Linked DNA regions of Callithrix jacchus. The protein of the gene in region 2 interacts with the protein of the main gene of each other region in a pairwise test. Links are inferred from orthologs where the notes say so. Each region holds a gene or a part of one and is shown on either strand. Other genes may lie near its edges. The genes, in order: RHOJ, WASL and RNF8.

What was found.
Region 1: the proteins of WASL (region 2) and RHOJ interact in binary tests that used the Homo sapiens proteins (3 or more experiments, as listed by UniProt). The two-hybrid records come from large-scale screens. The link is inferred for Callithrix jacchus from reciprocal best matches to the Homo sapiens genes WASL and RHOJ.
Region 3: the proteins of WASL (region 2) and RNF8 interact in binary tests that used the Homo sapiens proteins (3 or more experiments, as listed by UniProt). The two-hybrid records come from large-scale screens. The link is inferred for Callithrix jacchus from reciprocal best matches to the Homo sapiens genes WASL and RNF8.

The regions. Positions count from the first base shown.
Region 1 is NC_133509.1:97,985,021-97,995,886, forward strand, and holds the end of RHOJ (rho-related GTP-binding protein RhoJ), read left to right. Parts: intron 1-3,758; coding exon 3,759-3,905; 3' UTR 3,906-6,095; downstream 6,096-10,866.
Region 2 is NC_133512.1:123,325,068-123,335,268, reverse strand, and holds part of WASL (actin nucleation-promoting factor WASL), read right to left. Parts: intron 9,297-10,201; coding exon 9,254-9,296; intron 8,297-9,253; coding exon 8,143-8,296; intron 6,038-8,142; coding exon 5,511-6,037; intron 2,060-5,510; coding exon 1,951-2,059; intron 1-1,950. UniProt on the Homo sapiens protein: Regulates actin polymerization by stimulating the actin-nucleating activity of the Arp2/3 complex. Involved in various processes, such as mitosis and cytokinesis, via its role in the regulation of actin polymerization.
Region 3 is NC_133505.1:45,702,721-45,712,921, forward strand, and holds part of RNF8 (E3 ubiquitin-protein ligase RNF8), read left to right. Parts: intron 1-5,720; coding exon 5,721-6,458; intron 6,459-10,201. UniProt on the Homo sapiens protein: E3 ubiquitin-protein ligase that plays a key role in DNA damage signaling via 2 distinct roles: by mediating the 'Lys-63'-linked ubiquitination of histones H2A and H2AX and promoting the recruitment of DNA repair proteins at double-strand breaks (DSBs) sites, and by catalyzing 'Lys-48'-linked ubiquitination to remove target proteins from DNA damage sites.

The DNA.
Region 1 (10,866 bases), on a different chromosome or scaffold from region 2:
TTTCTAGCTTCTAAAAAAATTCAGAAGGTCGAGCAACTCTAGGCCAGCATTTCCTCATCAACAGAAACTTTTAATAGCTTACTATATCCATGACAACTTCGCCCTTGTGTTCATTGATTTTGCTCTTTCAGCCACAATTTCTTAACGTTGGCTAGAGACAGCCCAAAAGAGTAGTTAAGACTTTGGCTCAGGAGGCAGACAAATTCTAATCTCTGCCATTTTCTTAGTGGGGTGGCCATAACAGGGGTTACTTAGCCTCCCTGGGCATCAGTTTCCTGAGCTGTGAAATGAAGATGGTGATAGACTTTTCCTTGCACAGTTCTTGTGACAATGAAATTAGCTCATGTACCACTAGGTCCAGCTCAGCAAACTACAGTTGGTGTCAAATCCATGAGCCCTCTCAGACATGGCTACAGCTAGGAAGATCTCTTTGCCTAGATCCCTTCCAGTTACTTTCTGTCTTATTCTATAACTTGTCCTGGCCCCCAGTGGAACAATACGGAAGAAGTACTAAGTTTTCTTTTACTTGATTAGTCATTATGTTTGTTTTTTTTTAATTTCTCATCAGACTCTTGTATCTTCTGTACATCACTGATAAATTTCCCTCCTTTTGAGATAATAAGTGTTAGCTATTATAAAACAATCAAAAAAGTGTTTTTTTCCGTTTATATCCTCAATCTCTACTTGTTTCTTGAAAATAAGTCATTTGGGTAGAACACTTTCCAGATTGCTTGCATGTGTATCTGAACGAGGAGCCTCGAATCCTGAACCCTCCCAGATGGCTTCTAAATACTTGACTGTGTAGGTCGCCACATTTCCTTGAGACCATTTTTCATTTCACATCTTTGAGGGCACAGAAAATTTTTTTAGCAATCTGGCTCTGCTTTTTCCCTGAACCAGGATGAATTCTTCTCTGACCCTTAGAGAACTCGACACATGGTAACAATACCTACCTCATAACTCGGTTCTGTTTCTTCACACGTTTCCCAAATCACAACCATAACCCGATGACTACTTTTTCTATCAGCACAACATAATGTTATATTAACCCAGTTAGACAATAATGCCTTTATCTGCTATTTTATTGTCTTCAGAAATGTCTGAATTAGAAGAGACAAGTTTGGGCTACTCCTGCTCCATCGAAAGGCAAAGCCTGGCATGCTGTCAGGAGCACTCTGTGGGGAGGAGAGTGGGGAGTGCCCTGCTTCTCCTGCGGGACTCCAGGTGTGAACGAGCTCAGCCCAGCTGTCCTGGAATTCCAGGCAGAATCAATCCTAGGCTTGGGATCCTTAGTGGAGAGGTATTCCAGACAGAAAGGTGCCACAGCACTTTCTAGGTATTTTTTCAGCATGACTGACAAGTGCCACCACATTACAGTCAAGTTGGAGTCACTTAGATGAGCATGCTTTTCATGTGTGTTTGAATCAAGCATTGAACACAATCCCAAAACGCAACAGAATGCATTTCATCATGTTATTAGGAAATTTTTCTCTGCCCTTTATTCTTCTCTTGTACCTAACTGGTTTTAATTATTTTTAAAAGTTATTTCCTAATCTGGAAACCAAACCATGGTCAAAATGAAAGCCGTAAAATAGATTTTCAACATACAACATCTTTTCTTTTGGCATTTAATACAGTAACCACTCTGGTCAGAAAAAAAATGTAAAGTGCATAATCTCTGTCAGAGAGGTTAGGAAATAGTCTCTGGGCCCAACCAAAACAACTCTATTTGATGCTTAGTTTTCGTATCTGTGGCCTTTGAAATAAGTAGACAACCTCATTTCATCAACTGTCAACTAGACCAGCTTCTTGCAGAGCTGAGTGATAGGGGTCACAGTTACTGTCACGGAGCAAGGAAAAGAACATGTATCAAGAGACCCAGATTCTAGGTCTGTTTCTTTCACTTTCTGGTTGTGCCCATAAGCAATTCATTTTACCTCTCTGGGGTTATTCCCACTCCATTCTAAGGTGAAGCACAAGCATATTTAGTCCACACATTGCAAACTGGCTGGCTGCTGCCGAATACATCCCACATCACGTCTTCCTTGGCTCATGGTAAATATTTTATAAATTGGTAAATATTAAATTTAAAAATCCAAATTTCGAACTCCTCTTGAAAAATACAAAAATGGGCAACAGTGAACCAACATTACCACTTGGAAGCTAAGTAAGGCTGCACACTCTAGAGGGGGTGTGCGTGCAACAACCCACCGTAGTCCCCACCTCTATATATTCTCTTGCACCAGCCCCACTTTATCATTTACATAAGCTAGTGGACAGGATAGGTCTGTGATTTTGCTACCTTGTTTTAGCCATTTGTCTGCTGTGCTTTCTGGGAACTCACCATTTAGCCAACCTCTGCTGAATCTGCTTTAATTTTTCAAAGTTTTTCTTCAAATGTAAATCAAAAAATAAAGTCATTTCTCCAGGTGTCCTTAATAGTAAAAGGCCAACCTCACATTGTTGCCTCTTCCTGAGCTTATGAACAATTAAAACCTCAGGTCTCCTGCACAAGAAGCTGACTACAAATATGGTCTGTACTGGTCTGTGATTTTTAGATGAGAATCTATAGTTCTAACCTGAACTTTTGTATTTCTCAGGAGGTGTTTGTGATTATTAAACACACCATAGTATAAAATCATCCAAATATTGAAAATGAAGTTCTGTGCAAGTATGAAATACTTTATCATTTAAACATATAGACTGTACACTGACAAGAAGGATGCCTTTGGCAGTAAATGTATTTATGATTATTGTTATGTTTTATTGTTATCGTTACATGTTTTATTGGGTTTTTATAACCTTTTAAAAACTATGCCTTTTAAAGTATGTTAAGGCTGAGCGTGGTGGCTTATGCCTATAATCCCAGCACTTTGAAAGGCTGAGGCAGGCGGATCAGCTGAGGTCAGGAGTTCGAGACCAGCCTGGCCAACATGGGAAAACCCCATCTCTACTACAAATACAAATACTAACCCAGCGTGGTGCTGCATGCCTGTAATCCCAGCTACTCGGGAAGCTGAGGCGGGAAAATCCCTTGAACCCAGGAGGTGGAGGTTGCAGTGAGCCGAGATGGTGCCACTGCACTCCAGCCTGGGCGACAAGAGTGGAACTCCATCTCAAAAATAAATAAATAAATAAATAAATAAAGTATGTTAAAACTAAATAATAATGCCAATTAGATATTAGTTTATTGAGGGATACCTTTAAAGAGGTACAGTTAAATCAAGAATGACCTATAAAACTATTATCACTCGCTCTCTTTGTAGCCGCTCTATCAACCAAGCTGACACTTTGCCTTTTATCACACCAAAGGAGATATATTTCACTTGTACATGATTTACATGTTCTGCCTACAAATGAGAGAATATGAAAAACAAGATCATGCAGCCCTGTTCTTCACAAAACATATTGAAATTATATCATCGGTTTTGAATTCTCTCCTAATTTTTTAGATCCTCTTATTTTTTATATTATTAGGAATAAATGGCTAGGGATCAATTTCATGACTCACTGCTTTCCAGAAGTGATCCACAACCATTTATTGCTAATAAAGGAATGTAAAAATACAAAAATACAATAAAATAGGATGACAGGTACAAATTGAAATGCAAAAAAAAAAAAAGACAAACATAATCCAAACCACCCACAGGCTGTTTGTAGGACAGGCAGAAGTAAGTGCTTGTCTGGGCGGTGGGTTGATACCACCATGCTTTTCTCTCTGTTTTTCCTCTCATGCTTCTCTCTCTTTTCTGTTTAAGATCGGAGCACAGTGCTACTTGGAATGCTCAGCTCTGACTCAGAAAGGTCTCAAAGCCGTTTTTGATGAAGCCATCCTCACCATTTTCCACCCCAAGAAAAAGAAGAAACGCTGTTCTAAGGGTCACAGCTGCTGTTCAATTATCTGAGGTTGTCTGAGACCTGCCTCCACCCCATCCAGGGGTGAGAATGGCAGCCAATCTCTGCGGCCAAGCTCCAGCCAAAAAGGAGGGCATGACCAGAAAGGAATTCCCTTTGCACGGAGGACTGCTCCGCCACCCTGGGAGCCCTCCCAACACCACACTCGTCAGCCCACTGCCACGACCTCCCTGCCAGCCAGAAGCATCCGTACTGCACACTCTCCGAGAATGCTGGGCCTGGATTGCAGACAGCGCCACTGCTGACCGTGTCAAAAACAAAGCCAAAGGCCTTCTTACATTTTCCATCTCCCCGCTCATGAATGTGAAGCTGATAGGAAACCACCCCAGGGAACCAGAAAAACAAACTTGGTTCCTCTATCGGTGGTCTTACTTGATGTCTTTTACAAAACTTGGGACTATAACGCTAACCATTTTTTTTTTTTCTGAATCTGTTCTACCCACATGTCTCACATTCATTTGTATTATTTCAAGAAATGTACTAATTTCCAGTTTACTCAGGCCTTACAAATCCATACCAAATCAGCCTAAAGACAAGGCGTTTTATATTCATTTCTATTTTCAGCATGTTTCTACCAAAGCTATGAGAACCAACACATACCTCTGAATGCCTGATTATAAGAAGACATGAGAAGACTTTAAAACTTCTGGAAATTTACAGAGCCATGATTTTTGAACTGGATTGAAAAAAGCCATCTGAATTGTTGCAGGTCCACATTTTTGCCAAAGATGCACTCTGAAAATGCTTATTAGTGGTCTGACTTTTTTCCATATTATATTGCCATGACAAACTAAAAATGAACTGTGTTTAAGAATGTAGTATTTCTGGTTTTCATCCAAGTTGATTGGGGGAAGAATATGCAGGATCCATCTTTTACAGTACTGTTTATTCAGTAAAGTGGACGTTCCTGCTCCTCCCTTTCCCCATTGCATGCCTTCTTCCTCCCTTGATTTCACTTTTTCTCATGCCCAGATCCTTGTGTTCTCTCCAATTGTAACTCAGTTATAAAAGAAAGATCTGAGCATAAAAACACATGTTTAATAGCACCTAAAGGTTAAGGAAAGTGCCTTAATTTTTCTATTTGCTTCAACCAAAAGTGCTTCTCAGCTTGCCTCATGTAAGTTCTCATTTCATTCCATGTAAATGACATTTTCCAGTTACAACTGGTACTGAGATATTGCCTCTCTCTTTCCTTACTCATCCTCCCAAATGTCTGTTAGGGAGCCATATCCGTGGATACCAAGCTCCATATCCATTTGTCCCCTGCCCTCCACAATGTGTGACATAGAACAGGGACGTGGCCCTGGGAAAGCAAAAGCTCCCAGTAAGGAATCCTGTGCCCAATTATGTGAAACAATTCGAAACATCTAGGAATTTTTGTATCATAGAGCCAATTACTTCCTACCTTGTCATTAGAGGCTATGAGGGCTTCTAATTAGTCTTAGTTGCTTATAAGTGCCCTGAAATCACCCAAGTAGGCACTTAATTTTTTTTCAATTGCATGAGCAAAGTGCTTCTTAGTGGTATGAAATTACAACAATTTTAGTTTAAGACTTTCCAGATTCAAGCTCCCACTGTTGGAAAAAGCCAGTCTTTCTAATCTCTTCTGCTACTGGAGTAAGCACATGAGAATTACATGCTAGCCAGGCACAGTGGCTCATGCCTCTAATTCCAATACCTTGGGAGGCTGAGGTGAGTGGATAGCTTGAGCTCAGGAGTTCAAGACCAGCCTGGGTAATATAGTGAGACTCTGTGTCTCTATAAAATATCCAGGTGTGGTGACACACACCTGTAGTCCCAGCTACTCAGGAGGCTGAGGTGGAAGGATCATTTGAGCCCAGAAGGTAAGGCTGCAGTAAGCCATGACTGTGCCACTGCACTCCAGTCTGGGTGACAGAGCAAGAACCTGTCTCCAAAAAAAAAAAAACCCTACAATTTAAGAACTATTTCCCTTCTTTCCCATCTAATTGCTAAACATTTTCTTTCATACACACACACTCCGCTGACTAGAAAATGGGAGTTTTAAGTCAAAGCTTGACATTTGGAGAAAACAAGGACTTTCTGCCTTTATAAATGGAAATCAACTGTGTATAAACTATAACTCTGCAGAGGTTATGAATTCATCCTTTACAAACAATAATGAGCTTTTAGTCCTGTAATAAATGAAATGTTATTAGGCAGTTTTGTTGCATGATTGCATAGTTACATCTTGCTAACGGGCCACTAATTTCTCATTGATGTGGGTGAAAAATTGAGGGCAGTGTGCTTCCAGGTATATGCACCAAACAGGCAAATAGCTCCCCAGGTCACCACTTCCCTAACGGGCCACAGAAAGTAACTTGATCATGATGGCGAGATCACTCTCTCACCTAGAACCAGCAACTGGATAGAGACTGTTGTTACTGTCTGCATGGAGCACAGGCTCCTAGGGGTCTTAGGAGCTAATCACTGAATAAAACACTCTAGAACAAAGCAATTTAAACGAGTTAATGTTATTCTGCCAAATCAATTAGTTATTCCTTGTTCCACGGCAAGATCCAGTTTGTTTCACTAAAAAGTGTTTTCTGCTACAAGATTAAGCTGTCTTCTGAGACCAAAGATAAGGAGAGACATAGAAATTTGAAGAAGGATCCTTTAATGGCCCACACCATCTTCCGAAGTCAAGAAGTGGCAGCTGATATCCATTTGAAAGTAGAGTCCTAACTTTTCAGAGCTAGACAAGGCCTCAGAAACTATAGTTCAATTCCTCATTGCACCATTGAGAAAGTCAGGCCTAGATGGGTAAAAAGAGGTGTGTTGTAGCAGTGCTGGGACGGATCCCAGTTCTTCTGCTTCATACAGTGCTCTTCAACTCAATACTACAGTGTATTCGTTATCACACATATTAAGCTAGAGTTCTGTTGCCATGTTATTGGAGTTGCGGCTGTTTATCCTGTAGATTTTAGCCACATTTTAAACTCAAAACTTCATGTAGTTAGGCCACTAAAAATAAAGTAATCCATCAAACTGGTAATACACTGGAGAATCTGACCTACACACTAAGATACTGGAAATCCACAGTGTACGGCAATTTAGCCCCCATCTAATAATGGCTCAATCAGGTAGCTAGTTACACATATTGATTTCACTCAAATGGTTGGTTGTTTGGTAGAATGAATGGACTCCTTGGGCTATTTGGGGAACACAAAAGGACTAGGACACAAGTCCACAAAGCCACGTCCACAGTAAGAAATCCCGGCTGATTTCTGCCAAGGAAAGTTACAAAGAATAATTACTTGGTCACGTGGGGAAATTTCGACATAAAAGAAGTAATGGATAAAAGAAAGAAAAAAGAGCAATTGCTGAAGACAGTAACTACAGCAACCCTACACCAGAAAGCACTAAGCCAGGAAGTCCAAAACTAAGTCATAGACATACGACAAGGCGTGGGAGTTGGTCCTGAGACTTCAGTGAGAATACGTCCAATCAGGATGTGCAAAGAGCCATTTGGATGATTTCTAGTTCATAAGAGAAGTACTAAATGAAGTGGATGTGACCATACACAATTTGCACAGGACCCCCAGGAAGGAAATAGTATTACATGGTAGTAAAAAAGCAATCACAACTATACTCACAATTTTAGGAGAAAATAAAACTAAATCCAGAATTTGAAGCCAACAAAAAAATGTCATTATTTAGGGTCAAGTTCCTGTGAACACTACCTTCCAAAGTAGAACATCTTCAAGAAGAAATATTTGACTTGAGGTAAGGCTTTCAAGATTGCCGTTTTACATTCATAAAGGCAAACTCATCCTTGAGGCCAAAGTGATAGAAGATTAGAAATTGAGGCTCTGCTTTAAAGAAATGTTGACATCATGCTGGAAAGTATTATCCAGCTACTTACACGTTCGTTTTTAAATCCATCTCTATGTCTAGCTGCCAAAATGCAAACTGCACATTCTCTCAACAGAGAGCGCCACAGGTCACCAGCTAGTATTCTCCCAGGAGTCATTGAGTAGGCTGTCCAAGTACAAATAGGGAAACTCAACAAACTGTTTTCATTTCAAGGACCATTAGAAACAGAAAGGAAAAGAGAAGGACAGGGAAACTTAGTTTCTAACGAAGGAAGTGAGGCACTTTGAAAAAGAAAATGTTTAGAGAATGGAGAGGAAGCTAAAACCAAACACAGCCCAACCACACAGCTGACAGTTGTTCCGGGAAGTTGGGAACTTCTGCCTGGCCCCTAGAAGCACAGGGAAGAAAGGACTGTTAGTGTGAAGAACACTCCGAGGTTCTGGGTATCCAAGCAGAGTCGGTCAACGGGGCTAACCATGTGATAATCCTGAGTAATTCCACCTCAGAATTCACTAAAAAGCAAGTGGAATCTTGGGCAAAGCCTTTTGGGTCTTTAATAGCAATGAAGGACATCACCCTCTCCCTTTCTCTGCTTATACATACACAGCAGGCAGTCAAGGAAAACTTGCCAAGTAATATGAGTGAATAAATGATTTTGAAAGTCTCATTGAGCAGGAACATGAAGAGGATGATTTGGGGATAGTTGGAAGGATAGTTACTTGTATAAATAATATTAATTCATCTTCAGTGAGATATTTCTAATTAGAAAAAAATTGTACTTAAAATGTACAACCATAGTAAAAAAAAAAAGAAAATACAAGATAAAGCAACAGTTCATGGTGGCGCAACAGTCGACAAAGACCAGAAAGGACATTACAGCACATGTTCTACTCAGCAGCACGTTAGCCCTCCGAAGCTCAGCCAGGCTATTTTGGAGATCTCCTCGGATTAGGGGAGGAATGAGTCAAAGGGGCTTGGCTGCTCTGAGAAATGGTGAGCTCCAAGTTCAACAATAGTTCTTGGCTTTGAAATTTCACTACAGGAAATTAGAGTAAAATCTGCACCATTCATCTTGGACACAATCTATTTTTTTCTCCTTAGAGGATATTATGTCAAAAAACGAGGGTTGCTTCAGTGTGTGCGTGTGTTTTAAGTATGTTCTGCTTTGATACTTTCATTTTGTTCTGTGAGTTCTTCAGTGACTCAGAAGCTCCATGATACTATAACTAGAGTAATGTTGTATTTTTAGCCATGTCCTCGAAGCCTCCCAGTATATGTAGGGGTATCTGCCGAACAGAATCTGATCAGTGTTACAGGGAAAATGATGTCTAAGGCTCTACAAGGAGAGGGTCCCCAGGGCCCACACCTGAGTCATGCCTTGAAGCAACCTTAGCACACTTAGCCTCCCACTGCCTCCATGCAAGTCAATCTTTTGAGCTTATGTTAGTTCTTTGGGGGGAAAAAAATAGAAACAACTTCTGAATAGGGCAGTATGTTTGGGGCTGCTTTGTGAACACATATCTAAAATTACCTCCATTTGCCATTTTTTAAATCAATTTTTTTCAAGCAATCAGATTCTTTTCTCCTAGAGGAGCTATGGGCAAGAAAGCTAATGAATTCTACATCCTTCTCATCACCTGGTTTAAATTGTTTTCTGCTCTGAGTAAACAGTAATTACTGCTGAAGTACATTTCAGCAGAATTTCATCCCAATTGCAACAGTCATGTTTCTCCCAATGTAATCTCTGCAGAGGAAATGATCATCAAGGGAAGCAGGCTGACCTGCTCACGGGACGGCGTTCTTACAATCTGCATCTTATGTAATGGCCATTCTGTCTGCCTGTGTCATTAATGGAATATTATTTTATGCATTCTTTAACATTACAATTTATTTTGTGCCATGTTCTGACTATTAAGTCATTAAATCATGTTTTTTCTATTCATATTTCTGCGTAATCTGAGGGTATCTCCATCTGCCATTCCAGAAAATTGCCTTCCCCAGGCCTCTGTTAGAACAAGAAATTGTCCAGCCCCTTGTGACTCAAAATGTGACTCAGGAATCAGCAGCCTCAGCATTACCTGGGAGCTAGCAAGGACCATGGAATTTCAGACCCAGTCAGAATCTGCATTTTAACAGGACCCCAAATGATCTGTATACACAGTGAAATAGGGGAAGCACTGGTCTCTAAGATAACAAAATTCATCATCAGTCTTTACATCCAAACATATAGCGCCTAATGAAGAACCATCAACTTAGCCTGTGTCTCAGATGCTACCTTTTGAGTATTCCTTAGGCTAATATTTGAGTTGCTCACTTTTACTGGATGAATAAAAGGGCTGTCAGACGTCTCTTCTTTTGCTTGTCATGTGCTGCCCAGCTGCAGGAAAGGAATATGCATATTTTAGAATCAAAAGCAGAAAAGCAGCATCTGGTTTGAAAGATCTGCTAGATCTAAAGTCCTTCTGTTCTGAAAGCTTTTTTTGTGTTTATTAGGGTGAGGGAAAAAAAGCTCCCCCCAAAATTATTTTCCATGAAGTCATAAGAAAGATTCATAGCCCATGAAGTTTTAAAAACTCATGAAATAAAGATAAAACACATTTCTGAGACATAAAACTTTTGGTGAAGTTTCTGTCTTCGTTGCTTAAAACACGGAGCTCTAGATGACAGAATATGAGTTGATTACAAACAACTTGTCCTCTAAACAGGACACAGACTCATGCCAAAGACTTGTATTGTTACTGCCTTAAGCACGGACCAGAGTTTTATTCACTTCCTCAACATATTTTTACCACCACCACTGGGGACCAGGCTTTGTTCTCCCTGCCCACACCCTATCCTGTGTACAAGAGCCCTTTAAAAATTGTACACAACCGTGTACTGCAGCCTATCCTCTTATTCGTAACCTATTGTTGCTGATGAAGTTCTAAAGGCAAATCACACCTACCTTTAAACAAATCAAAAAAGAGCACAAGGTCCACCAGTGCTCCTGTACCTGCAAATGGCCTAACTTTCTCACTAGGATGTCAGTGATTCCATCCCAGAATAAGGACCTGATAGCTTTGTGCAGGTGCAGTCTTTAAAGGCCCACCTCCTCTAGGAAGCACCAACCACCTGCTG
Region 2 (10,201 bases):
CTTTATCTCTTCCTAGCAAGCAACCTTTAAACTAAGCTTGAGATTTTTAGATGTCATTCCTGTGACATAAAAAATTCAGGCGCTTTGCCTCATCTGTGAGGATTAGGGCTAACAATTTAGGTAATTTTCACTGTTTCTAGAGTTTACTAAAGAACACTATACCATAGACATAAGCATAACTTTAAATACTGTGTCTATGTATATCCTACTGACATGCAATCTAGCAATTAAGACCTCTCTTATGACTTCCAGACTCATAACCAAATGCTACTCCATATCTATATTTGAATTAATAGATATCTCAAATTTAATATGTAAAACCAAACTCCTAATCTTCCCTTTCAAACTTTTTCTTCCTAAGTCTCCCTTTTCCAGTTGTTCAAGTCAAAAACCTTGGAGTCATCTTGCACTCCACCCTTTACTTCTACCTTCACTTTCAAACCACAGCAAACCCAGTGATCTCCACATTCAAAATATAACTAATATTCAACCACTTCTTCTTGGTGCTATAAACCTGGTTTAAGCCTCCATCATTTCTTGCTTGGATCATTACTACAGCTCTGCTAAAAACCCTCCAAAGGCTTCCCATCACCTTCAGAATAAAAGCTACCGTCGGGGGTCTCCAAAGCCTTACTACTTACTTGTATTTCAGTCCTTACTACTCTTTCCCTCCCTCCCTTGCAAGCTTCTTGATCTCTTCATTGTATCTCAGCCTCTCAGACTTTATATTTGCTGTTCTTTCCATTGGATACACTTTCCCCGGTTTTCTACATGGTTCACTTCCTGAACTTCTAGTCTTTCAAATGTCACCTCAGTTAGGCTTTATCGTCCCATTTCAAAATGAACTTCCCTCTCAACAGTCTGTAACTCATTTCCCTTTTCTATTAGACTTTTGTCCTTAGTTCATGTCACCACTTAACATACTGTATGTTTTTCTAGTTTGCTTTGTTTATTGCTTGTCTCTCTCTCATTAGACCTAATGCACGTCCATGAAGGCAGAGATTTCTGTTGTTTTGTTAAAGTTTATTATTATTCCACAGTAAATATTTATCTCCATTTCTGTAATGCAGGATAGAAACAAATATGCCTATTCAAGGAAAACACACATTGCTCAAGGGTCTAGACATGCACATCCTTACAGAGAAACAAAGAAAAGGAAGACAACATTTAGTGAGCACCTACTATGTGCTAGGCAATCTGCTGATTAGTGACATACTATTTAATTCTCACATCTATCATGTGCTTTGTGAATTCTCTCAATGTAACAAATGAGAAACTGAGGCTCACAGAGATTAAATAAATCTAGTAAGATCTGACTCTAGCACATCATGTTGGAAAAGCTATTTTGCAAACCGCAAACACTCCAATCAGCAAAGCCCATATCCTTGTTCTTTCTTTAAAGCAATATTCATTTCTATGATGGTATGTGTATGTTTAGTAATAACCTCAAAATAGGTACTGGTTTATTCAAATAACCGTTTAGAAAATGATAAAGGTTTAAGAAAAGTTAGTATTCTTTAGCAAACTCTAGAAACAGTGAAAATTATAAATTCTTAGCTCTAATCCTCACAGATGAGGTAAAGCGCCTGAATTTTTTATGTCATAGTAATATCACAGGAATGAAATCTAAAAATCTCAAATTCTGTTTAGCAGTGGTTTGGTAGAAAGTTTTTGAGCATTTCCTGATACAGGAAACAAAAGTGTCAATTTTCCCAAAGCTATTCTTTCAATTTATGGCTATGGCTGTGTCAAGTTTCAGACAGACTAGTCAAAGAGGCAACAACTTTTAAGATACACCCTAGACTCCACATCAGTAGTTACTCTATTAGCAGAAAGCTAGCAAAGACAGTCATAAAATTAAAAAAAAAATTGAACTTCAAACATTTGAATTTATTAAATACACATGTGCACACACACACTCTCTCTCTCTCTCTCTCTCTCTCTCTCTACCTGAAGAATGAATGGCTTTGCTCCTTTTCTGCATCACTTCCATTAATGCACCCACAATTCCTGAAGTGGGTGCAGGTGTTGGTGGTGTAGACTCTTGGCCATCAGACACCTTGGAAAATAAAGTTAGCAAAACTCAGTAATAAATCTTCGGCAAAGAATCTTTGTCTCCAGAAAGTCTTACTTTCTTAGAATCACTTTTTATCGTAAAAGACAAAAAGATATCAAACTAGCAAGCCCAGGACAAGATTAATTAAATTAACAAGAAACAAACTGCTGCCTTAAAGATATTCTTCAAAAATATTTCCTTTGCATCTTAATGTATAAGCCAACAATGCATTTCCAAATCTATGTTTATATTTAGATAACAAACCATTTCCTGAATAATACTTGCTGGGTTACCTCTGTTTATTACAGCACATAAAGACTTAGATGATCAACTTTAAAGCTATTATCAAGGGAATTCATTTTAGAGAGGGTACTATTTATTTAGACTCCAGAGTTATTATGTAGAAAGAACACTAGAGATACTGAAAAACAACTGTAGAAACTTATGTTTGCCTACAAAAAAATCAGCTTTATACCTTTACGTTATACTTATACCTTCAAAATGAACCTCTTTTCTCATAGTATGTAATTCCTTTTTAGGAGATGAATTGAACAGCTTTCAAAATATATCTGCCTCACTAGGCAACTAACGGTCCCTAACTTACTGTGCCAAAGTACATTCAAGAAAAAAGAATTATTACAGATGAAACAGCAGAGCTGTAACTAAATGATTATCTATGTTTTATATGTTTTTATATATATTAAAAATTTTTTATATATATTTGAAATTCTTAATCATTTCTCAAAGACAATTCAACTTTTCATTTTGATCTGTACAACTCTTCCTCGAATACTCCTTGTTCTTTTTGGACTAAACACCTTTTTTTAAAAAAATTCAAAGTGGCTCCCCCTAAGATACAGATTCTCTATACTTAGTATTTTGGCTTTAAAGACTATGTATTAACTATTTCTCATACAGAAGTACCACAAATGAAAAAGATAACAGTTCAGAGTTTTGTATTTCTGCACAAGGCTCTTGAAGCACAACAGCAATAGGGACATTTAGACTACCTTTAAGCAATGGGATAATGTAAAGCAAATAGCACACATCAGAGGTGAGCACACTCTAATCAAACATATTTTTTGAAGTACTTACTTGAACAAGGTACTATTTGAGGTCTGAAACCAGGGAATTTAAAACATATGTGAGTACTTTATACTTCCTACTAGCTCTTTAATCTATGTTTTATGTTAATCATATTCATCACAGAATAAATTGATGACTTACTTAAAGAAAACATAGCCACATAAATTTCAACCACAAAATGATCTTTATAAAAAAATAATTATGAACTCAGATTACATGTATATCATGCCAATAGTTCACTGATTATGCACTCTATGGTTGCATTAAATGCAATCAAAAGGAAAGTGATTATTTAGGATAAAAACGGCCCCCTATCCAATATGTAGAATAGAAAATATTTTTCTTTCTAAAAGATATTAACAGGTTTTTTTGGGGGGAAAGAAAGCAAGCTTTGGGATTGGAGAAAGTAAATAGAAAATTTAACCTTAACTTTTCAAAGTAAGTGAAGATACAACTTTATTCATTAAAAATTTTAAATCACCTTATTATAGCTAAATGAGCGAAAGAAACAAAAGTTGGTTATAAAAAGGAAACAGAAAAGGGAAAACAAAAAGTGGGAGACATAGGAATGAGAGTGACATAGGAACTAGCACAGATTCCAAGGTAAAAGCTGGGCTGTGGTCATTTTTTTTTTTTTTTTTGAGACTGAGTCTTACTCTGTCACCCAGGTTGGAGTGCAGTGGCATGATCTTGGCTCACTGCAACCTCCACCTCCCGGGTTCAAGCGATTCTCTTGCCTCAGCCTCCCAAGTAGGTGGGACTACATGCATGTGCTACCATGCCCAGCTAATTTTTTGTATTTTTAGTAGGGATGGGGTTTCACCATGTTAGCCAGGGTGGTCTTGATCTCCTGACCTTGTGATAGGCCCGCCTCAGCCTCCCAAAGTGCTGGGATTACAGGCATAAGCCACCGGACCCAGCTGGCTGTGGTCACTTTGACATTAATTCTCCCCACTAACCACTCTTTAAAGTTCATCAACTGCTTCTGAGAGACCTTTAGTCTGATCAAAATGGGGAAAGAGAACAGAGATGATTGTTTATAGATTTATTTAACTGTCATCCTGAATACATGCAAAGAAAAGATCTAAATATATTTTAAAGATCAGAGTCTTCTTAAATCTATGCTAATGTTTACATGTTTTCGTTCAATTAGTGTGTTTCCTATCTATCACTCTCCTTTTAGACAAAGCTTCTTAGATCTAGAAAGTTACCTTAATCCCTACACTGGAAAATAATTTTCTATTAAAACGTCCTCTGTCGTCTCTGTTTACTTCACAGAAAAGTCTATCGTCCATGACCTGCCTGAAGTCCTGGAGAACAGTTATAAAAGACTCCAAAGTAAGTATGTAAATGTAGACAGGTTAGGCTATGGGATGGGACGGAGTCAGCAAACTGGAGCCCATGGGACAAATCCAGCCTGTTCTTTGACTTTTTTTTTTTTAACAATCTAAAAACTAAGATTGAATTTACATTTTAAAATGGTTCAAAGAAAATAAAAAGAGTACTTTTTATATGTGAAAGTTATATAAAATTCAAATTTCAGTATCCAAATACAGTTTTATAGAACACAAGCATGTCCATTCATTTAGGTACTGGCTGTAATGCTTCTGTAGTAAAAAGGCAGAGTGGTCATGACAAGAGGCCATATTGTCTATATAAACCTAAAGTTTTACTACCTGATCCTTTACAGAAAAATGTTTGCTGAACTCTAGAAGATTAAATGACCTGTAAAATTAAATGGTTATCTCATCCAAATCAGATAATCCTAAATTTATTTGCCATCACTGTCAGAAATTCTACTAAAACTCTTTCAATTTTTGTGAGTCTGATTCTCTACTAATCTAAATTTTAGAACATGAAAACTTCAGAACATGATCACTAGTTTAGGTTTCCTAAAGTGATTGCAACTGGTTTCAAGTAGGGCTATTTTTAATTCTCAGAGCTTAATAAGGATTTTTCATTAAAGTACCTTTTATTAGAAAGTAAAGTCTAGAACAATGAATTGCAAACATACAATAAAATTCCATTTTTATGAAGTTCCAGAATAGGAAAAACTAATCTATATTTAGATCGGTGATTGTTTATGGAAAAATTAACTGAGAAGAGGCATGAGAAAACCTTCTGGGGTGATAGAAATGTCCTATATTTGGATTTAGAGATATGGCTTACATGGTTATAGAGATGTATCAAAGCTGAACTAAAAATTTATGCATGTTATTGCATGTAAAAATATTTTCAAATTTATAGTGATAAGAATAAATTAGCAAGAGAAAAATAAAGTATAAACTTTCAAAAATGTCTTTCAATAAACTACTTTAAAATTCCATTATCACAGATGATCTTAAAAAAAAAAAAAAAGCTTACTTACAGACTTTAGTTGGATACCCTGTCGTATCTGGTCTAACAGTGCATCTCGTCCAGAGCAGGACACTGGCCGACTGTTCTGCTCCACTTTTTTTAGCTGAGCACCCTCTCTAATTTGATCTAAAAGAGCTGCTTTGTTTCCTGCAGTAGTTGGAACCTGATGGTCCCCGTCAGAAGACAGACCAAGGCCAGCGAGGGGCGGTGGCCCAGGCGGAGGTGGAGGTGGAGGTGGTGGGGGTGGTGCCACTGGCCCTACCCCCAACACAGATGGAGGTGGTGGTGGAGGCCCTGAAGGTGCTGAGGAGGGAAGGGCTGGAGGTGGAGGAGGGTACATCCTATTTGGTGGTGGTGGAGGGACTGCTACACTTGGCCTGGAAGGAGGCGGTGGTGGAGGTGCAGCTGTGGGAGCTCTTGAAGGTGGTGGAGGAGGAGCGCCTCTTCCCCTGGCAGGAGGAGGAGGAGGACCTGAGTTGTGTGGAGGGGGAGGGGGAGGCGGTGGCCCTCCCCTTGATGGTGGTGGCGGTGGTGGAGCTGAAATGCAAACAGAAAAAAAGAAGACATGTATTTTTCTTCTCTCAAAAACCACACTGAAAAGCAATTCATTTTTAACATGTATAAAAACCAAATAATATCATAAAAGGGCCTCATCTTCACATTTTATTTTACAAAGATACCTGAGCACAGATGATCTCACAATTTCGTTTGAGAATTGTCAGCCTAAAGATCACTTTCTTATTGTTGCTTAAAAATAATATGAGCTAAAACAGAACAGTTTACTTTTTAGGAATCAGTATTAGTTCTGAAGGAGAATAAACACTTTCTACTTTACAAACTTACAATGAAAATACACCAATGAAATTAAACATTTTGTTAATCAGCATTATTTTGCATTTTAATAAAAATAAATGAATACCACCCTCTTTAAAAAGAATCAAGTACACTTAGTTTTTATTAAATAAAATCAATTCATTTAGAATTACATAGTGTAGCATAACTTAATAGCATTCATTCACATTAATCTGAGCTAAAGCCCAAATATAATACTTTTCTTTCAAAATGTAAGCGTTTGTCATCTAATTTACATTTGTACTTTTATAGTATAATGTCTAAAAATAGTCTGCAATTCTAGTAATGGCACTATGGGAGGCTGGTTGCTTGGCTGAAATGCTTAATTGCTTATTCAAGAGACATGAACAGATAATTAACAAATTAACTGAGAATTTCTATATACTGCAAAATTAAAGTTATCAACAAAAATTACTATTATTCTAGTAGTAATGATATTAGCATTCTTAGCCTACATAAGTGGAAATGTTAAGATAGAATAGGAAAACAAACTTGGCTGAGTGTGGTGGCTCATGGCTGTAATCCCAGTACTTTGGGAGGCCAAAGCAGGAGGATCACTTGAGACCAAGACTTTGAGACCAGCCTGGCAAACCGGGCAAAACTCTGTTTCTATTAAAAATATAATAATTAGTGGGGTGTGTGGTAGTGCATGTACCTATAATACCAGATACTTAGGTGCTGAAGCGTGAGAATCACCTGAAACCAGGAGGTGGCGGTTACAGTGAGCCAAGATGGCACAACTGTACTCCAGCCTGGATGACAGAGCAAGACGGTGTCTCCAAAGAAAAAAAAAAAAAACACCACAGTATTTGGAGATAGATTTTTTGCAAAGTAAATTAGCATCATGCTAGTTTCAGTGGAACTAGCACTGTGTTTCCACAATACCAATTACGATCTTATGCTCATTTACGTATTGGTTTCCATATGAGACTCTTAAGATTTTTTATGACAGAAACCTTATCTTTACATCTAAATATCCTGAGACCAGTACTGGCATAATAATGTTTACAAAATATATGAGTCAATCAATGAATCAAAGATTAAATGAACATTGGCAGGGAAAAAGACACAAGTAAACCAAATGCCTAATTTAAAATGAGTTAAGTTTTTTAGAAGAATGTTTTAACTAGAGCTTTTACTCAACTACAGTATTGTGAGTATGCAAAAAGAAGAAAAGAAAGCAGTCCTAAATGAATAAGGTAGGAAAAAGATGACTGTTATATTGGAAAATTTAGAGTATTTTATCTGCATTTTACTGTGATAATTATTAAGACAAAACTAAAACGTAAGGTACTTCAAAAGATATCAAATCTTAAAAGGTTGTAAATTGTGCTCTCAGATACACAAGAAAATTTTATACTTTATCCAAGAAAAAGAATTTGTATTTCAAAATTAATATTTATATTATTTATATTCTGAAAATGTTTATATTACTAATTAGAAAGTAATTATATTTAAATTACTACTTCTGAATTACAATGAAATCTGGTGGTTTACAGTATTCCTTAAGTAAAACATTTAGGCAACTGTAAGTTTTTACTTTAAAATAGAAAAGCTGGAAGATTTTGTATGGATTTTTATAAGTACTTAATAAGCAAAACCTTACAAATTTTTTTAGTTTTAATAAAATAATGTTAAGATATAGTATGATGGGCCAAATCAGTTTTTCATAAACTTAAACATTCTGCTCAAGGAAGGGTTCATATATATATGAATGTACCTGTTTTCCATGAAACCAACCTCAAAAGATTAAAACAAAACCAAACAGAATGCTGATAGAAATATGTTACCTTGCCTTCGTAGTTCATTTTTAACAGCTTCAACGCCTCCTGTTTTTTCAATAAAGTCATATATAACTTTTGATGTTTCTCTGTCTTTAAGTTGTGCCTCTGAGATTCCACACATATCGAAAAGATTCTTCAATTCTGGATCCAAATTATTCAACTACAAAAGAAGATAACTGCTAACTATAAAAATATATCTCAATTTAAAAAAAAAACCTAATTTTAAGGCTCATCTGTGTCCTTATGAAATTATTTTACCTTTATAAACTTTTAACATGATTACTTACATGCTAACTAAAAGATCTTATTTAAAAAAACTGAACAGATAGATTTCCTATTTTGTTCTTTTTTGTTCCTCGCCTTCAAAAAAAAGGCATGTCATTTAGATTTCTATTAGTCTATTCATAATTCAGACATCTCCAATGCTCATCTATTCTACCTTGTCCTAAGTATGTAAAATTAGGAATAAACACAAAAAAAGTAAATTAATTAGAAAATCTGAGAGCAAGGATCTTCCTGTAATTCCAAGCATCTTGCACAATGCCCAGCACAAAGAGGTGCTCAGTATGTTTGTAGAGTTAACATTGTAGCTATAACAAAAATAACCAAGAGGATTTTTTACTCCAATCACAAAACAAATTTCTCTTTAAAATAATTTATCCAAACTGATTAATTTTTGCCAGCAGTTTCACAGCTCTATAAAGCAATGGCAAAACTGCCAAAAAGAATAGGAGAATGAAAAAAATCTAGGTAATTCAACAACTGAATACTCAGAATTTGATTGTACTCCTTTCTAGCAATTTGGCATACATTCCCCTGAAATTATTACTTAGCAGAAATGATTTTCTTCTCTTGGCTTTCAAAGCACAAGGATTTTATTTATACAGTGTATAAAGCCAAGGTACACAAAACCTTGGTCCAAGTCTTTATAGAGACTTAGCCATGAATGACATAACAATAATATGGGTTTAAACCTCAGTTGTATATATACACAAAACACACGCACATTCAAATAGATACTAGAAAACCCCAAAACGAATAATAAAAATAAAAATCTAGGCCAATATAGCTCCATATATTTAGAGTTATAATGTATATGACTTGAAAACATACTTACATCAAAGCCTGTATTTGGATCCCAACCAACATGTCCAATGTGCCTAAAGTAGAAAATAGAAAAAAATAGAAAACTAAATTCACAAAGGGCATTATAAACACAATATATATGAAATTCAATCTATATTTGGCTTTGAAGTTTTGGCCTGAACTAATAGTTCTCACAAACATAACCATATTATGATAAAAACTATTATATACAAAAAGTCAGAAGAACAGGATTCTAGCCCTGACTCTGCTACTAATTGAAACTTAAAAATTTTTTTTTTTTTTTGGAGACAGAGTTTCCCTCTTGTTACCCAGGCTGGAGTGCAATAGCGTGATCTCGGCGCACCGAAACCTCCGCCTCCTGGGTTCAAGCAATTCTCCTGCCTCAGCCTCCCAAGTAGCTGAGACTACAGGCGCGCACCACCATGCCCAGCTAATTTTTGTATTTTTAGTAGAGATGGGGTTTCACCTTGTTGACCCGGATGGTCTTGATCTCTTAACCTTGTGATCCACCCGCCTCGGCCTCCCAAAGTGCTGGGATTATAGGCGTGAGCCACCGCGCCCAGCCTGAAACTTAAAATTTTTGTACAGTCTCTCTGAGCATCTATTTCCTTAACTGTCAAATTAGCACAAGAGTCCAAGCATTACATATATGAGAGGATAGGGGTTTCATAATGAGCGAATAAAATAATGCATATTGAACTTCTTGAAATATATTATATAAATACCAGAGGTTTTTACTGCTCCTAGGCAGTATCAGTAGACAATTTCTAAGTGCTATTTATAGAGCAAAGTGAGAAATCATTTTTATGTCCAACAATTAGCTGAAGAAACAACTTCATCTAATTTTTCTTTTCTGATAGTTGAAAAAGTAAATAAACTGTAAGGTACAAAGAACGTCTATTGAGTAACTGCCTTAAAACACATACACACAAAAACGCTAACCAAGTGCATAGCTAAA
Region 3 (10,201 bases), on a different chromosome or scaffold from region 2:
TTGCACCTGTGAATAGCCACTGCACTCCAGTGTGGCTGACATGGTGAGGCCATGTCTGTATCAAAAAGAAAAAAAAGAATGCCTAAAGTGCAGATATACAAGCACCCAGGAATGTAATGAAAACACAGACTATGAGGTGAGAGAAATTCTAATGTAAACAGTTAAGACTTAGGGAGTATAAAATGTCCTTAAGTACCATTTCATACTGCTTCACTGCCCTGGTTAGGATTTTAAAGGTACCATTAGAAGGGAGGATATTCCAGATCTGCCCGGCAGCCTCATTTTGCATGCATAAAACTGCTCGACTTAAGCTGCTGGAAAGTATCTTCCTGCTCTGGCATTAAGTTGAGTTGGCACTGTATTGAAGGAGACAGTATATAAATGCCGAGTAAATTGGTTCAGCACTTTTAGTTAGCAAGGCACTGTGAGCAGGATAAAAATTGGTACTGAGATTATCTAGTTTAACCCCTTATGTAGACAGATGAATCTGAGGCCCAGAGAGATAAACTGTCTTGCTCAAGGCCTTCTCTCTAATGAGCCAGGACTTAAGTTTCTCTGCCATGCCCTGTGTCAAATACCAGTAAAGTACATAAGCAATTTGCTATACTGGCTTTATGATGCCACACAAAATTAATTATGCATAATTTGAAATACAGCTGCAAGATTTTGAAGCCTCTGTAATAGTGTATATCAGAACAGCTTAGGGAAAGATGTTTTCCTCATCAGAGTAGTCTGTATGATCATTGGGATTACAATATTATAGAGGTGAGTTCTCTGCTGCTCCTTTTCTTGTGTGCTGTGTAGATGTGATCCACTTACGGGATTAGCAGATTTTTATAGGTTGGGAAGCCACCAGCTGATCAACTTTAGTGCTATTTGAATGTTGACCACAGGAATACAGAGGCAGCCTGTGCAAGGTCAGATCATGACTGCTCCGGGCTCGCTGTCCGGTGTTTGCTTTGTACCCTTCCTTCTAGGGCTGCTGTTACCATGTGATTCTTCTCAGGTCTCAGTAAGGCAGTAGAGAGGAAAGAGAGGTTTCTTAACAACCTGTTTAAACCTTTTAGCTGTGATTGTGAGGTAACTGATTTTTAAGAGAAGCTAGGACTGGGGTATTTTGGTGGAACAATTCTTACAAGTAAATCCCCCCTACCCCTTGCATTTTTCTATTGACTATAGATGCTCCCTTTCTGGCTTCCTTCTGGCATGATGCCATGGCAACCCTCTTTTGCTGATAAGGGACCTGAATTTTAGCTGTAGGACATTATTGCTGTGGTTGTGTTTCAAGTCATTTGTCAAGTCTCTTTCAAGACCTAGGTATTTCTAATAAGTTAAAACTCAGAGCTGCACTCTCTCATCTGCTGGAATGGCCAGAAAGTGAGACTTTAAGTATGGATTTAAAAAATAGCAAGAAATGTGATTTTGGTTTAAAATTGGCTTAAAATACAGAAAAAAAAAAAACCTTGGAGGACAGCTAAGTCTGCACACAGTATGAAGATGGTTCTAGTTGTGTAGGTTTTGGTTAATTCATAAGCTCTTCAGATGGCCCGTCCTTTGTATTGGTATCCAGCTCTTTCAGAAAATTGGTTGTTTTTATAACTCATTCAAAACAGTAAAAAAAAAAAAAAAAAAAAAATTTGGTTGTTTTAAAGTCACAGTATGAAATGCCTTAGAGGTTCAGTCACGTCTTATTTGAGCCTTTCTCATTCTTCCCCTCCTCTCCTGTTGCTTTTCACCTGCTGTGTGGTTATTCCTACCTTTGTTCTTCTGCAGACTCTGGCAGTTGAAGTCTCTGTTGAGTATACTCTTATGTGAACAAACTTTGCTGCGTGGAATAGTTCAGCTTCTGGTCCTCCAGCAACTAGAGCAGTGGTTATCAACCCTGTTTCCAGTTTTTACTCTCATCTGGGGTACTTTTTAAAAATACTGATGGTAGTACAGTAAAAATGTTCCTTCATCAAAAGACACCATTAAGAGAATGAAAGGCCAACTCAGAGAGGAAGATGTTTGCTATACTTTATAGTCAATGAAGGGCTTATCCTGAGGTATATACAGAACTGCAAAGCAATAAAAAGAGATGTGCCCAATTTAAAAATGAGCAAGAGACAAGCGCTTCACAAAAGGTTGTATCCAGTGAAAAGTTGTTCGGCCTCATTAATGAGCTGGGGAATTTTAATTAAAACCATAATGGAATACCTCTGCACATTCACCAGAGTGGCTAAAATTGAAGACTAGTGATGCCAGGTATTGGTAAGGATATGGAGCAATAGAATGCTCTTGCTCTTCTGTTGGGAGTGCAAATTGGTACAACTACTTTGGGAAATTATTTGCCATTATTTATTAACGTTGAACATATATATAGCTCTTGACACAGTGTTTTCACTCCCAGGGAAACAGTACAAATGTCCATCAACAGTAGAATGGATGCATTGTGGAATAATCTTATATTGAAACACTATGCTGTAGTGAATATTAATGAACTATAATACATGGATAAGTCTCACATAACATTGAGTGAAAGAAGACAGAGACAAAAGAATACATATTATATGATGCCATTTATACAGTATGTAAAAACAGGCAAAATTAACGTGCTGTTAAATCTGGCTGGTAGCCACCTTATTGCCAGAGTGGCTGCTGACCAGAAGGAGGCACAGGGGGGTTTCTGGGATACTGATAATGTGGGATTTGTTTTGTTTTTGGCCTCACAGCAGTTAAACTGAGATGTTCATTTTGTGGCTGTTCATCTCGTTGATTTGTGCACTTTTACATTTGCATGTTCCGCCTGAGTAAAAAGTTTCATTTTTTTTTTGAGATGGAGTTTTGCTCTGGTTGCCCAGGCTGGAGTGCAGTTACACGATCTTGGCTCACTACAGCCTCCGCCTCCCAGGTTCAAGCAGTTCTTCTGCCTCAGCCTCCCAAATAGCTGGGATTACAGGCAAGCACCACCATGCCTGACTAACTTTGTATTTTAAGTAAAGACGGGGTTTCGCCATGTTGGACAGGCTGGTTTTGAACTCCTGACCTCAAGTGATTCACCTGCCTCGACCTCCCAAAGTGCTGGGATTACAGGCGTGAGCCACTGTGCCCGGCCGTAGTAAAGAGTTTTTAAAAAGATATTGATGGATACACACTTAATATAACTGCTAAAATAAGACTTGATGATACCAAGTGCTGGCAAGTATGCAGAATAACTGGAACTTCTAAACACTTAAGTGTGAATATAAAATGGCACCTCCACTCTGAAAAACTGGTGATTTCTTTCTTTTTATTTTTTTGAGATGGAGTCTCGCTCTGTTGCCCAGGCTGGAGTGCAGTGGCGCAATATTGGCTCACTGAAACCTCCGCCTCCTGGGTTCAAGTGATTCTCCTGCCTCAGCCTTCCGAATAGATGGGATTACAGGCGCCTGCCACTGTGCCCAGCTAATTTTTGTATTTTTAGTAGAGACAGGGTTTCACCATGTTGGCCAGCCTTGTCTCAAACTCTTGACCTCGTGATCCTCCCACCTCGGCCTCCCAAAGTCTGGGATTACAGTTATGAGCCACTGTGCCTAGTCAAAACTGGTGGTTTCTAAGAGTCAAATATACGCTTGTCCAGTGATTCATTCTCTTTCTCTCCCCCCGCCTTTCTTTTTCCTTCCTTCCTTCCTTCCTTCCTTCCTTCCTTCCTTCCTTCCTCCCTCCCTCCCTCCCTCCCTCCCTTCCTTCCTTCTTCCTTCCTTCCTTGCTTCTATCTTTCTTCCTTGTCTTTTTCTTCCTTTCCTTTCTTTCCTCTCTTTCTCTTTTTTCTCTCTTTTAAGATGGAGTCTTGCTCTTGTTGCCCAGGCTGGAGTACAATAGCGCAATCTCAGCACATTGCAACCTCTGCCTCCCAGGTTCAAGCAGTTGTGCCTCAGCCTCCCAAGTAGCTGAGATTATGGGCATGCACCACCACATCTGGCTAATTTCTTTATTTTTAGTAGAGACAGTGTTTCTCCATGTTGGTCAGGCTGGTCTCGAACTCCTGACCTCAAGTGATCCACCTGCCTCGGCCTCTCAAAGTGCTAAGATTACAGGCATAAGCCACCACGCCTGGCCTAGTGATCCTATTTCTAGGTATTTATCCAAGATTAATGAAAGTTTATGTTCTCACAGAAACTTGTATGTGAATGTTTGTAGTGGTTTTATTAATAATCATCAAAAACTGTTAAGAAAACCAACTAGAGAATGGATAAACTGTGCTCCACTGGTACTTCCTTCAGTATTACTCAGCAATAAAATATAACAAACTGCTGGTAATGCAACAGTGTGGATGAATCTCAGAGGCATTACACTAAGTGAGAGTAGAAAGCCTCAAAAGTGGAGACACTGAGCCGGGCTCGGTGGCTCAAGCCTGTAATCCCAGCACTTTGGGAGGCCGAGGCGGGTGGATCACGAGGTCAACAGATCAAGACCATCCTGGTCAACATGGTGAAACCCCATCTCTACTAAAAATACAAAAAATTAGCTGGGCATGGTGGCGCGTGCCTGTAATCCCAGCTACTCAGGAGGCTGAGGCAGGAGAATTGCCTGAACCCAGGAAGCGGAGGTTGCAGTGAGCCGAGATCGTGCCATTGTACTCCAGCCTGGGTAACAAGAGCGAAACTCCGTCTCAAAAAAAAAAAAAAAAAAGTGGAGACACTGATTCCATTTGTGTTACATTCTGGCAAAGGGTAGAGAACAGATAAGTAGTTGCCTGGGAATGGGGGAAATGTTGAGTTGACTAAGAAGGGTCATTGTATCCTGGTACAGTTTGTATATAAACGTAACTTTTAAAATACTAATAATTAGTTCCTATCTTAGACCAATTAACTCCCTCTGAGGGCCAAACCCAGGCACCCCTCTTTGTTTTAAACTTTCCCGAGTGGTTTTACTGCACACCTCGGCCTCCTAAAGTGTTGAGATTACAGCTGTAAGCCACCACTCCTGGACAGGAAATATTTATGTGTAAGTTATTGTGCTAAGTGATTTACATGCATTATCTTATTCACTCCTCACAGGAACAGTATGAGGTAGGTACCGTACCATCCCTATCCTGCAGACAAAACTGAGGCATGGAGAGGTTAAGTAAATTGCCGAACGCCATGCAGACTGTGAACCTGCATCTGAATCCATAGCTCCAGCTCTTAACCGCTATCCTGTATTGCCTATATACCCCTGTTGGTATTAATTGGGTCGGATCCTACCTGCCATTTGACCCCAGTCAGGATATAATACTCTCTTTTCTTTTGGTTTATGTGTGCTTGCTCTTTCACCAGTGCGTTAAGGAACCACATCCAGAGATAGTATTTGAGCCTACTTCATGGGCCTCACCCTTAGATACTGCTTTCTTTACTAATCGCGTTTTTTCTAGTTTTGGGACATTGCCTCATTGCCTCCAGTTTAGGTCAATAGGAACTATCCAGTTTCAGTTTCCTTTCATGCTATTGTATGTGTTTGAGTAAATTAACCACCAATAATATAGGGTGATTCCTGCCTGTGACGTGGCAGTTCTCTGTGGAAGCATGACTGAAATATAGGTAAAAAGCCAAAGCACTGCTTGAAAAATGCTGTTTCTAAGGATGGTAGTTTATGACTCTTTCTTTTCAGTTCGTTATCAAGAGTTTTCCTTCTGAAAAGGCCAAAGGTTTTACAATAGCAGGAGAGAGATTCTATTAAGAGGATGAAAATCATGAACCTTATTTCTTTCTTTAACTTTTCAGAGTCTAAATGGTGTTTGGCTGAACAGAGAGCGTCTGGAACCTTTAAGAGTCTATTCCATTCATAAGGGAGACTACATCCAACTTGGAGTGCCTCTGGAGAATAAGGAGAATGCAGAGTATGAATATGAAGTTACTGAAGAAGACTGGGAGACGATATATCCTTGTCTTTCCCCAAAGAATGACCAGATGATAGAAAAAAATAAGGGATTGAGAACTAAAAGGAAATTTAGTTTGGATGAATTAGAGGGTCCTGGAGCCGAAGGCCCTTCAAATTTGAAATCCAAAATAAACAAAGTGTCTTGTGAATCTTGTCAGTCAGTGAAATCACAGGGGAGAGGTGAAGTGGCCAGTACACCCTCTGAAAATTTGAATCCTAAGTTGGCTGCCCTTGAGCCAAGTAAGAAGACCACAGGGGCTCCCATTTACCCTGGCTTCCCCAAAGTCACAGAGGCTCATCATAAGCAGAAAGCCTCAAACTCTTCAGCATCTCAGAGCACCTTACAGCTGTTTAAGGTGACCATGTCCAGGATTCTGAAACTGAAAATACAGATGCAGGAAAAACAAGAAGCTGTTAGGAATGTGAAAAAGCAGACCCAAAAGGGGCACTCAAAGAAAATTGTGAAGATGGAGCAGGAACTGCAGGACTTACAGTCCCAACTGTGTGCAGAGCAGGCTCAGCAGCAAGCAAGAGTGGAGCAACTAGAGAAGACTTTCCAGGAAGAGGAACAGCATCTTCAGGTACCACACGGAAGGAAAGGGCAAGAGTGGTCTTCAGGGGTGGGGCAGGCACTTGATGAGCCTCTGGCCAGAGCTCTCAGTTTCTGGGCCAGGTACCAAATTCTGAGCACCAAAGACAGGAAATGGAATGGGAACAGTAAACTTTTGAGATGAGGGAATTGGATTGAGTAAAGGGTTAAGGTTTCTGCACACTGATGAGATCAGGAGCCAGAGTTGGGGTGCTAAGATAGGGTAAAATATCCAGCAGAGCCAGCGAGGACATAACTCATCTCAGGATGCAAAGCTGAGGCAACTCAGAACCAACATGAATTCGGGGGAAGGTTAGGTGAAGGTCAAGATGCCACAAAACCACAGTATAGTCCAATTAAATCAATAGTTGTCTTGACTTACCTATCTTTTCTCTGGGCCAAGGCCAGATCACTTAGTCCCAGGGCAGGTACAGGTCAGCTGGTTCCTTTGCCCTTGTACCTGACACTTTGTTAACTAGAAAGGTTAGTTAACTCTGTAGCTAACCCAGGAGGTAAGAGGCTAAAAAGGCAGAAAATGTTTTTGTTTCTGTTTTGAGCAGCTAGCATGTGATGGGACAGATGCAACGTGGCTGCATTGTTGGGTTGAATGATAAATACCTTCCACAGTGCCAGTAATAGGAAGGTAAAATAATGGCTGTCTTAGCTGTATAAAGGTGAGACCAAATGTGTTCCCATCCCTAACTCATTTGCTTAGATGACATGCTCTTGCACAAAGCTTTAGGCTGGAGCAGATCCTGTCCCTGCCCAAAATGTCATTTCCTATCTGTCAGGAACCACATGTTTTACTCCCACCCAGTGGTTCAGGTAATATTGAATGTCAGAAATTCCCCATTGCTTACTTAGAACTCAGACGGACCAGTCACCATTGAACTGAATAAGCTTTTTCGTTTGGGTTGCTCAGGGTAAGGAACAACCAGGGGTAGTGTTGTCTTATTTCTGAGCAATTTATAAATGTCATTCTGATCTCTGCCATCCCCTTGAACTGGTAGTATTAGCAAAGGCCATGGATTAAATAGGTCTTTTGAGAGTATACACTACTTACTTGTGGGTACTTTTTGCTTCCCTTATTCGGCCTAGACTAGTCCTTGAAATTAATAGAGGCTGGTTTATGTCTACATATTTAGATGTAGACCTTCACATCTTCACTGGGACAGAACTCTCTATAGGCAAGTATGTTCAGGGACAAGTTACTGTTGATTAATATTTGTGGCGGCTCTGGACATGCTTCAAGGTATAGCTGCAAAATCTTTTTCTGTACCAAAATGTTAAAGGCAAAAGGACTGGTTTAGAGAATTTCTCTGGGTATGAATAGGTCATATATTTATTGCTCATAGTGAAGTGTATCTAATCCCTTGTTTATCAGCTACATCTCCCTCTGTCCACCAAGCCCTAGGGATTTATCCTACCCGCTACCACTTGTTTAGAAGTTCATTAAAGTCTTGCTGCTTCACTCACACTTTTTTTTTTAATTTTTTTTTTTTAATTGCATTTTAGGTTTTTGGGTACATGTGAAGAACATGCAAGATTGTTGCATAGGTGCACACATGGCAGTGTGATTTCCTGCCTTCCTCCCCTTCACCTATATCTGGCATTTCTCCCCATGCTATCTCTCCCCACCTCCCCATCCCCTGCTGTCCCTCCCCTATATCCCCCTGACAGACTCCAGTGTGTGGTGCTCCCCTCCCTGTGTCCATTTGTTCTCATTGTTCAACATCCACCTATGAGTGAGAACATGCGGTGTTTGATTTTCTGTTCTTGTGTGAATGATGGTTTCCAGGTTCATCCATGTCCCTACAAAGGGCACAAACTCATCGTTTTTTTATGGCTGCATAGTATTCCGTGGTGTATATGTGCCACATTTTCCCTGTCTAGTCTATCATCGATGGGCATTTGGCTTGGTTCCAGGTCTTTGCTATTGCAAACAGTGCTGCAGTGAACATTCATGTGCATGTGTCCTTATAGTAGAATGATTTATAATCCTTTGGATATATACCCAGTAATGGGATTGCTGGGTCAAATGGAATTTCTATTTCTAGGTCCTTGAGGAATCGCCACACTGTCTTCCACAATGGTTGAACTAATTTACACTCCCACCAACAGTGTAAAAGTGTTCCTATTTCTCCACATCCTCTCCAGCATCTGTTGTCTCCAGATTTTTTAATGATTGCCATTCTAACTGGCATGAGATGGTATCTCAATGTAGTTTTGATTTGCATGTCTCTAATGACCAGTGATGATGAGCATTTTTTCATATGTCTGTTGCCCTCATATATGTCTTTTGTAAAGTATCCATTCATATTCGTCGCCCACTTTTGAATGGGCTTGTTTGTTTTTTTATTATAAATCCATTTTAGTTCTTTGTAGATTCTGGATATCAGCCCTTTGTCAGATGGGTAGATTGCAAAAAATTTTTACCATTCTGTTGGTTGCCAATTCACCCCAATGACTGTTTCTTTTGCTGTGCAGAAGCTGTGGAGTTTGATTAGGTCCCATTTGTCTATTTTGGCTTTTGTTGCCAATGCTTTTGGTGTTTTGGTCATGAAATCCTTGCCTATGCCTATATCCTGAATGGTTTTGCCTGGATTTTCTTCTAGGGTTTTTATGGTGTTAGGTCTTATGTTTAAGTCTTTCATCCATCTGGAGTTAATTTTAGTGTAAGGTGTCAGGAAGGGGTCCAGTTTCTGCTTTCTGCACATGGCTAGCCAGTTTTCCCAACACCATTTGTTAAACAGAGAATCCTTTCTGCATTGCTTGTTTTTGTCATGTTTGTCAAAGATCAGATGGTTGTAGATGTGTGGTGTTGCCTCCAAGGCCTCTGTTCTGTTCCGTTGGTCTGTATCTCTCTTTTGATACCAGTACCATGCTGTTTTGATTACTGAGGCCTTGTAGTATAGTTTGAAGTCCAGTAGTATGATGCTTCCAGCTTTGCTTAGAATTGACTTGGCTATGCGGGCTCTCTTTTGGTTTCATATGAAGTTTAAGGTGGTTTTTTCCAGTTCTGTGAAGAATGTCATTGGTAGCTTGATGGGGATAGCGTTGAATCTGTAAATTACTTTGGGCAGTATGGCCATTTTCACGATATTGATTCTGCCTAACCATGAGCATGGAATGTTTCTCCATCTGTTTGTGTCCTCTCTTATTTAGTTGAGCAGTGGTTTGTAGTTCTCCTTGAAGAGGTCCTTTACGTTCCTTGTTAATTCTCTTTGTAGCAATTGTGAATGGCACTTCGTTCTTGATTTGGCACTCTTTAAGTCTGTTATTGGTGTATAGGAATGCTTGTGATTTTTGCACATTGATTTTGTATCCTGAGACTTTGCTGAAGTTGCTTATCAGTTTCAGGAGATTTTGGGCTGAGACAATGGGGTCTTCTAAATATACAATCATGTCGTCTGCAAAGAGAGACAATTTGACTTCCTCCTTTCCTATTTGAATACCCATTATTTCTTTTTCTTGCCTGATTGCTCTGGCTAGAACTTCCAATACTATATTGAATAGGAGTGGTGAGAGAGGGAGGGCATCCTTGTCTAGTGCCAGATTTCAAAGGGAATGCTTCCAGTTTTTGCCCATTCATTATGATATTGGCTGTTGGTTTGTCACAAATAGCTTTTATTATTTTGAGATACGTTCCATCAATACCTAGTTTATTGAGGGTTTTTAGCATAAAGGGCTGTTGAATTTTGTCAGAGGCCTTCTCTGCATCAATTGAGATAATCA